Linked DNA regions of Solanum lycopersicum. The protein of the gene in region 1 binds, or shares a complex with, the protein of each later gene. Links are inferred from orthologs where the notes say so. Each region holds a gene or a part of one and is shown on either strand. Other genes may lie near its edges.

Region 1 (3,758 bases):
AAGAGAGAAGGAGGGAAAAACGTCACAAAAGGAAGAGAGGGAAAAAAAGTTTGGGCTATTTTTTTTTTGAAATAGGACCCAGTTAACTACTTGTCAAAAAATAAATGAAGGATCATACAAATTTTGTCTACCACATAACACTTGTGCCTCATTCGTCATAAAATTTTTAGTATATTCTCAAATGGTACTAGTGAAACAGAGGCATGGGTAAAGCATATAATTGAGCTGCCATCATTGTCAACAACAACATCTCTATTTACAACAATCATAAAGGAGAGATTGTATGGATTCCAGATAGTAATTAACACTTTGCACATGTTCTTATATGACAATGGATTGAAACAATGGGGAAAAGTTTGAGATACAAAGGAATTATGAACAACAATGTATCACGGATCCGTATAGTGTTTTTCTATATCTTGTAGAAAGTATTAGGCCAAGAGTTAATCTAGTATTGAACCACCTACGAGAAATATGGTGGACTCATTTATCCTTAATCAAGACGTGGTGGATTTAGGTAACGTTGATACATAGTCATTTTTTTTACGGAGCACTTTATTTTTAACGTAAAATTTTTCCGCACGAATTTAAATTTAGTTGGACTTCAATGTGAATATAAACACCGGTGAAAAATTAAAAATAAAATTAGTATCGAACAAGGATTGATTCTAAGCACATGTATGGTTTAATTTTATGTCTCTTGTTTAAAATACTACGTTATCATTACTCTTCTATTAACTTATTTTTCAATTCTACTACTATTTGTTGTTTTCTCTGCATTGGTCTTAGTTTTTTTTATATGTTTTAGCTTAGTCGAGTTTTTAGCAAAAACAACATCTTACTTTTTTACGATAATAATAAATTATTTACACACCACTCTTACGATTATTATTATCGCATTTAGAACAATTTATTATCAAATGTTCTAACACACGCGTGTGTATTGAGGATTCATTAGCACTAATGGCTTTGTTTTTAGATGATATTTAAATTTTGTCTATGTACACATCCAAACCTAACATTAACCAAAAGAGTAATTTTTCAAGCTATATCTGTTAACTTTTAAAATAGGGAAAGAATATAATATTTGGGTATATATTGGACATTAATGGCAGACGATAAATGTATATCACTGGTATACATGATTTTTGCATATTTCGATCATATTGGTACATTAATGGCAGACGATAAATCTTTTAACTTTGGTGTCACTAAGGCCCATTACGACATTTCCTGAACACTAAGGCCCATCATGATATTTCATACCCATCAAGCCCACTACGTGGACCGTCATGATTCACAAATCGCAACAGCTTCATTTTCCCTTATTTTTTTCTTATTTTTATGAGAAAGAGAGCTTCAATCTCACCCTAATCTGCTGGAGAATCAGCTGAATTTCGTCGATTAATCACATTTCTGCTTCAATATTCATGGTAAGTCCCTATCTTCGATCTGTAATTTTTTTGCGCCACCAAAATACAAATGAAAATTTGTTGTGAGAATACGCCTTACGTGCATTTTGATGCGTCCTCGGTTTGTTCGTTGATTACTCTTTTGGTACTCTTCATAGGATATTTATTGCAAATTTATATTTTCAGAGATGTGGCTTAATTTTAACTGATTCGAATGGCCATGGTATTCCTAGAAAGATGAATGATGAGGAACCCTAAATTTTATTTGGCTAGCACATGTGGGTATTGCTTTTGATCTTTTTTGATTCCTGGATAAGTTATTCAGGAGAGGTGTTGCTTCATTGATCTGCTTTCGTTGAAAAAAAATGGGTTATTTTTTTAGATTGGAGTATGTTATAAGTTATGCAAGTTCATATTTTGAACCTAACCTCCTTATCAGAACTCTTTAATTCATAGACTCCGTAGCTTCTTTTCTTTGTTTGTGTGTGTTTTCAACTTTGTAATTTAGAATGAGTTATATGTATATAGATTAATAAGGAGTTAGTGTAGTCTTCCGCTGTACTTTGAATTAAGCTCTTTCAAGGTAAGCTTCTTTTTTCAGGGAAAGAAAACCTTCATACTCTATTACTTCGGAAGGCTTATGTATTTATTTTAGAGAGGTAGATGTAAATTAAATTAGTACCTAAACTTTGAAAACAGTTAGTTAGAGATGTTTTGCGTAAGTGTTTCCTCCCCTCCCCCACCCAGACATCAAAAGGAGGGTATTCTTTTTGTTTCTTCCCCTCTTGTGCAATTCCCTTAGCATCAGGTATTAACAATCTATTTTGGGAATAATTTTTTTGGAAATGTTACTGTTACTCTCTCGATCTTATGTTTCTATTCAATCAACTCTGCTTCGGTGAGTTTAGCAAAGTGTACCCCATCTAAAGCCTGGAAAAGAGTTGTGTTGTGGTTGGTCTCCTAGAAAAAGAGAGTATTTTGCAATCATGATGCATAGACCCATCGCTTAGTGCAGTATAATACAATCTTTTACCTTTGTAATTATGCTTGCTCAGTCTCGCCTCTTATGAGGCTAAAATTACTGATGTGTGGCATGTTCTTCTAACAGGCACCTATAAAGGGCCTTCTTTCTCTACAACGAACTGCATTAGCTCAGCGTTCTAGTGAAAGATGGGGCCAATATGGTAGGTTATTTAGCACTCAGGCTGCATCAACTGCTAGCACTCCCCAACCTACACCCCCACCCCCACCTCCCGAGAGGACTCACTTTGGTGGCCTTAAAGATGAGGATCGTATTTTCACAAATCTCTACGGATTGCATGACCCTTACCTCAAAGGTGCCATGAAGCGAGGAGATTGGTACAGAACAAAAGATCTTGTCATCAAGGGTTCTGACTGGATCGTGAATGAAATGAAGAAATCTGGTCTTCGAGGACGTGGTGGTGCTGGTTTTCCATCTGGTCTCAAATGGTCCTTCATGCCAAAGACAACAGATGGCCGTCCTTCATATCTTGTCGTCAATGCTGATGAAAGTGAACCTGGAACCTGTAAAGACAGGGAAATCATGCGGCATGACCCACACAAGTTGTTGGAAGGCTGTCTGATTGCAGGAGTGGGGATGAGAGCTAGAGCTGCTTATATTTATATCAGGGGAGAGTATGTGAATGAAAGGTTGAGCCTTCAGAAGGCTAGACAAGAAGCCTATGAAGCTGGATTGTTGGGGAAAAATGCTTGTGGATCTGGTTATGATTTTGACGTATATATTCATTTTGGTGCTGGTGCCTATATTTGTGGTGAAGAGACAGCTCTTCTGGAGAGCCTTGAGGGCAAACAAGGCAAACCAAGATTGAAGCCTCCATTTCCAGCTAATGCAGGACTATATGGATGTCCAACAACTGTTACAAATGTTGAAACAGTAGCTGTTTCACCAACCATCTTAAGGCGTGGTCCAGAGTGGTTTGCTAGTTTTGGCCGGAAGAATAATGCCGGGACAAAGCTGTTTTGCATCTCAGGCCATGTTAACAAGCCCTGTACAGTTGAAGAGGAAATGAGTATTTCATTGAAGGAGCTGCTAGAGAGGCACTGTGGTGGTGTGCGTGGAGGATGGGACAATTTGCTTGCTGTTATACCAGGAGGTTCATCTGTTCCACTGCTTCCCAAGAACATATGTGAGGATGTACTTATGGATTTTGATGCACTCAAAGCTGTGCAGTCAGGGTTGGGAACTGCTGCTGTAATTGTCATGGACAAGTCAACTGATGTTGTAGATGCAATTGCAAGGCTCTCGTACTTCTACAAGCACGAGAGTTGTGGTCAATGTACACCATGTAGGGAAGGCACAGGATG
Region 2 (3,739 bases), about 3.7 Mb from region 1:
CACTCTTATAAAGGATAAAAAATCGATCTATTAAGCTGCCTTGGAATTTTGTGCTTTGCGATAGTATGGATAATATAACATTATTTTTATGGTCATAGCTCATAAGTAAAAGATCGCTGTTATTTAAAATTTAATTTCAATTATTCAAATAAGTGAACAAATTAAGTGAAGTTTTTGTCTCAATAATTAAATTAGTTCATATATGTGAGTTAATAGGACGGTTCAGTTGGTTATTTTTTAAGAAATTATATCATCTTAATTTTATTTTTACGATTAAATTGTCATCTCAATCATATTAGTTTCTTTTCAATATCGGTATGATTTAATTAATTTTCGTTTTTTTTCTTATTTTTCAAGTATCACCTCAAAATATATTGTTTTTAAATATTTTTCAGGTATATTTTTAAAGAAATACTTCACTTCTTCATCAGATGTCAAGAATATAAAATGTTGTTATCGTGGTGTTTGATCTTAAAAATTTAATAGAAATGCTTGCATGTTTTCTGTATCTAAGACGTAAGTTATATTTATATATTAAATTTAACATATTAGTAACATATAAAATATATTTACATACATGTGAGGTTATTAGATTCGAAAAATTATCACTTTTTTTAATTGAAAAGATCATTTGAATTATTTGAGACAATTATACACTAAAATAAAAGTCTACAATTATTAAAAAAGTGATAAAAATTCATTGGATTTAATTTTTTATATTCTTTTGATACCCACAGATTTTGATTTCCCCTTCCCAAATTTTTCTTTTAAATTAAATCTATACTTGAAATTAGGATCAAAATTAAATATTTTTTGTATCTCACCTGAGCACTATAGTTTTTATATAATTATTCGCCTAAATACATCAGAGTACAAAATACTCGTATGTTAGCAAAGTAATGTATGCGTGAATTTATACGAGACATACGCCACATCACCGTGAAAATAAAAATACAAAGGGCAAAGTAATATCTGGCTTCATCACTTCGGCCGGATTCTATCATCTCAGGCAAATGGCTAGCTCTCTCCGACGACTAGCGACGCATTCCTCTCAAGCCGCCTGGCGATCTTCTGTGACGCCGCTATGTAGACAATTTGCGTCAGAAGCGTTGGTCGAAATCAAGCCCGGAGAGATCGGTATGGTCTCTGGTATTCCAGATGAACATCTTCGTAGAAGGGTATAATTTCTTTTCTTTATGTCTCTTCGCTAATATCTATTATTTTGTCAGGTCATTTAGGTGTATGAAAAACTTCATTGTAGGTTACCAATTTATTAGGGCTTCTATAGCAGATCCATGGGTTCCGCTATTTAGGGTTAGCAAATGATTTGGGAAATGGATATGGAGGATCCATATAGTTAGAATCAATTGATTTGAAATTGATATAGTTGATTGATTGCTTTTCATTTTTGCCTTTGTGAATTTATGTTACCTCTAATCCGAAGACTATTCCTTTTTAGCCCTCCTTTTGTCTTCCTCGCTCCTATTCAATGATATAGAAGAGACCATAGCTGCTTAGACACTTGTGACAAGTAAAAAGTTGTAAGTTTTCATGGTAGGGAGTAGTTTCTGCTTGGCAAGTATTAAGTTGAACTTGGACCTTCTAGAGCTTGAATTGATAAGCCTTAATATCAGACCCCAGCTTGGATTAATGCAAACTTTTTCCCCACGGAGGTTTTTCATCCATTTCTGCACAAATTTAGTTATATAGATTTCTTATCAAATCTATAATCTGATCTATATCATCTATACGAAGCTGTTTACACCAAAAAAGTAGAGATAATTCACATTTATTTCTCTCTATGTTCGTGTCTATTATTTTATTTATCCCATATTTTTCCTTTCATGTGCATGGTTGGTTTGCCCTCTCTTTCAATTTTGGTTATATACAAATGTATTGGCTTGTTCAATTTCTTCAACTCTTATATTCTCAAATTTCTTGAAGTGTTTAAATGTGCCAAATGATCCTAATCTTTCTTTTAGTACATATATTTTCTGTCTCTTCATGTGGAAAATTGCTCTCAGTTAGTGGATTAGATCTTATGCACCATGCCCCTTTTGGTAGTTAATAATGTTTGCTCACCAGGTTGTGATTTTCTCTCCTGCTCGGACTGCTAGTCAACAAGGCTCTGGAAAAGTTGGCAGATGGAAAATCAATTTCATGTCTACCCAGAAGTATGTTTTTGGATATCTTCCTTTTCTTTTCATTATTAAGAAGTTAGCATGGTTCACCAATATTAGTCTATTTTTAGCCAGCACAAAATCCTGCAGGACTTTGTACAGTAATTACAATATACAAACTCATCTACCTTATCCTTCTGTCCTGTACTAAACAAGAAGAAACAAAGAGAAAACCTTAAAGAAAGTTTTGACAAGTATAGATTATAAGTTTTTTTTCCCGTTAAAAGACTATAATTTTAATTGTGCCTAGGTCTCAAAATACAATGTTTGACTATGAAATTTGGACCACAACAGGTTGTTTGGTTTGTGAAGGTTAAAGAGATTGTGAACTTATTTTCCTCTAGTGGTTCATATAATTATAGAGATCTGGACATTGGTGTCTTCCTTTTTATCTACTCCCTTTGAACCATTTCATATGTCACCGTTTGACTTGGCATGGTGCTTAAGAAAAAAAGGACTTTTGAAATTTGTGGTCTAAAACAATCTTAGAACATTTGTGTGACCTTAAATCATTTCATTAAGGTAAAAGGGGAATTTTAAATTAAATTGTTTCCAATTATAGTAAGGTGACACTCTTTTTGGGACGGACTTAAAAGTAAAGGGTGGAAAGGGTTCCACATAAAATGGGACTGGGGAGTATCATTTAATACAATGTTGGTGCATCTGATTATGGGGTTTTTTTGGTCGTGGAGGGAGGTAATTAGGAAGGTATATTGGTTTTGACAACGCCAAAACTCTCGGGTTCATAAAAAGAAATTACTAATAAGAGTCCAGAGTTCTTCCTATGCTGTAAAGATCAATTATTGATTAACTTTAAACTTCAATAGAGAATGAACCCCATTCATTGAATTCAGCTTAGCCAGACGGTGTTTCTTCGAGTTTACTTAAGTAGAAAAATTGCTGATTGTTGATGAAAAAAATGTATATTCATATCAGAAGATGCTGAGAGAGAAGCACTCATAATTTATGGCCATGGTAAAAGTTTTGTACTCTCCTCTATGCGAATCAAACTATTTTATCCTGGGTAATTTCATGGATGGTCATCCAACTAAAAATCTTAGTGCACCAAAGCTATAAAATTAATTTTTGTAATGGAAAATGACTCTTAACTATGCGCAAATATCACATTAAATAAAAAACAATAATAATGCTAGAATCTGGTCATAGAAAACACAAGTAGGTTGCTAAATTGTATGAAATTTCTATACAAGTACAACCACGTCAGCAACTCAACCCTTAGATAATATCTACGTGGTGCTACCTAAATGAACAATTTTTTTCCGATCCAACTTACTACCCGACATCTTTACTGTGTGAGCCATCATTTTTTAGGACAGATTTATATTCTTGTAAGTGGTGTCACGTGGATATTATGTAAGATTAGTTGCTGAAATGACAACCTACTTGTGTTTCCAGACTCATTTTAGCATCTCTCGCTTTTTTTTTAAAAAAAAAATTCTACGTATATCCTATATTAGCCGAATGGAGTTTTCATGTTATTACAGTTAGTTATATTACTTTGGTGCAATAAATTGGAAGTTGGATGACAACGTATGAAT

The links.
Region 2: the proteins of NADH dehydrogenase [ubiquinone] flavoprotein 1, mitochondrial (region 1) and NADH dehydrogenase [ubiquinone] iron-sulfur protein 4, mitochondrial are in contact, whole or in part, in a cryo-EM structure (PDB 8BED), measured with the Arabidopsis thaliana proteins. The link is inferred for Solanum lycopersicum from reciprocal best matches to the Arabidopsis thaliana genes CI51 and FRO1. Residues at the interface, in NP_196470.1 of Arabidopsis thaliana: Gly131, Arg132, Pro133, Glu237, Arg247, Leu248, Pro250, Pro251, Tyr259, Gly260, Cys261; in NP_201560.1 of Arabidopsis thaliana: Tyr140, Ser141, Phe144, Trp146.

Annotation. Positions count from the first base shown.
Region 1 is NC_090801.1:65,985,167-65,988,924, forward strand, and holds the start of NADH dehydrogenase [ubiquinone] flavoprotein 1, mitochondrial, read left to right. Parts: upstream 1-1,284; 5' UTR 1,285-1,430; coding exon 1,431-1,433; intron 1,434-2,520; coding exon 2,521-3,758. UniProt on the Arabidopsis thaliana protein: Core subunit of the mitochondrial membrane respiratory chain NADH dehydrogenase (Complex I) that is believed to belong to the minimal assembly required for catalysis. Complex I functions in the transfer of electrons from NADH to the respiratory chain.
Region 2 is NC_090801.1:69,719,051-69,722,789, reverse strand, and holds the start of NADH dehydrogenase [ubiquinone] iron-sulfur protein 4, mitochondrial, read left to right. Parts: upstream 1-798; 5' UTR 799-1,013; coding exon 1,014-1,178; intron 1,179-2,085; coding exon 2,086-2,174; intron 2,175-3,739.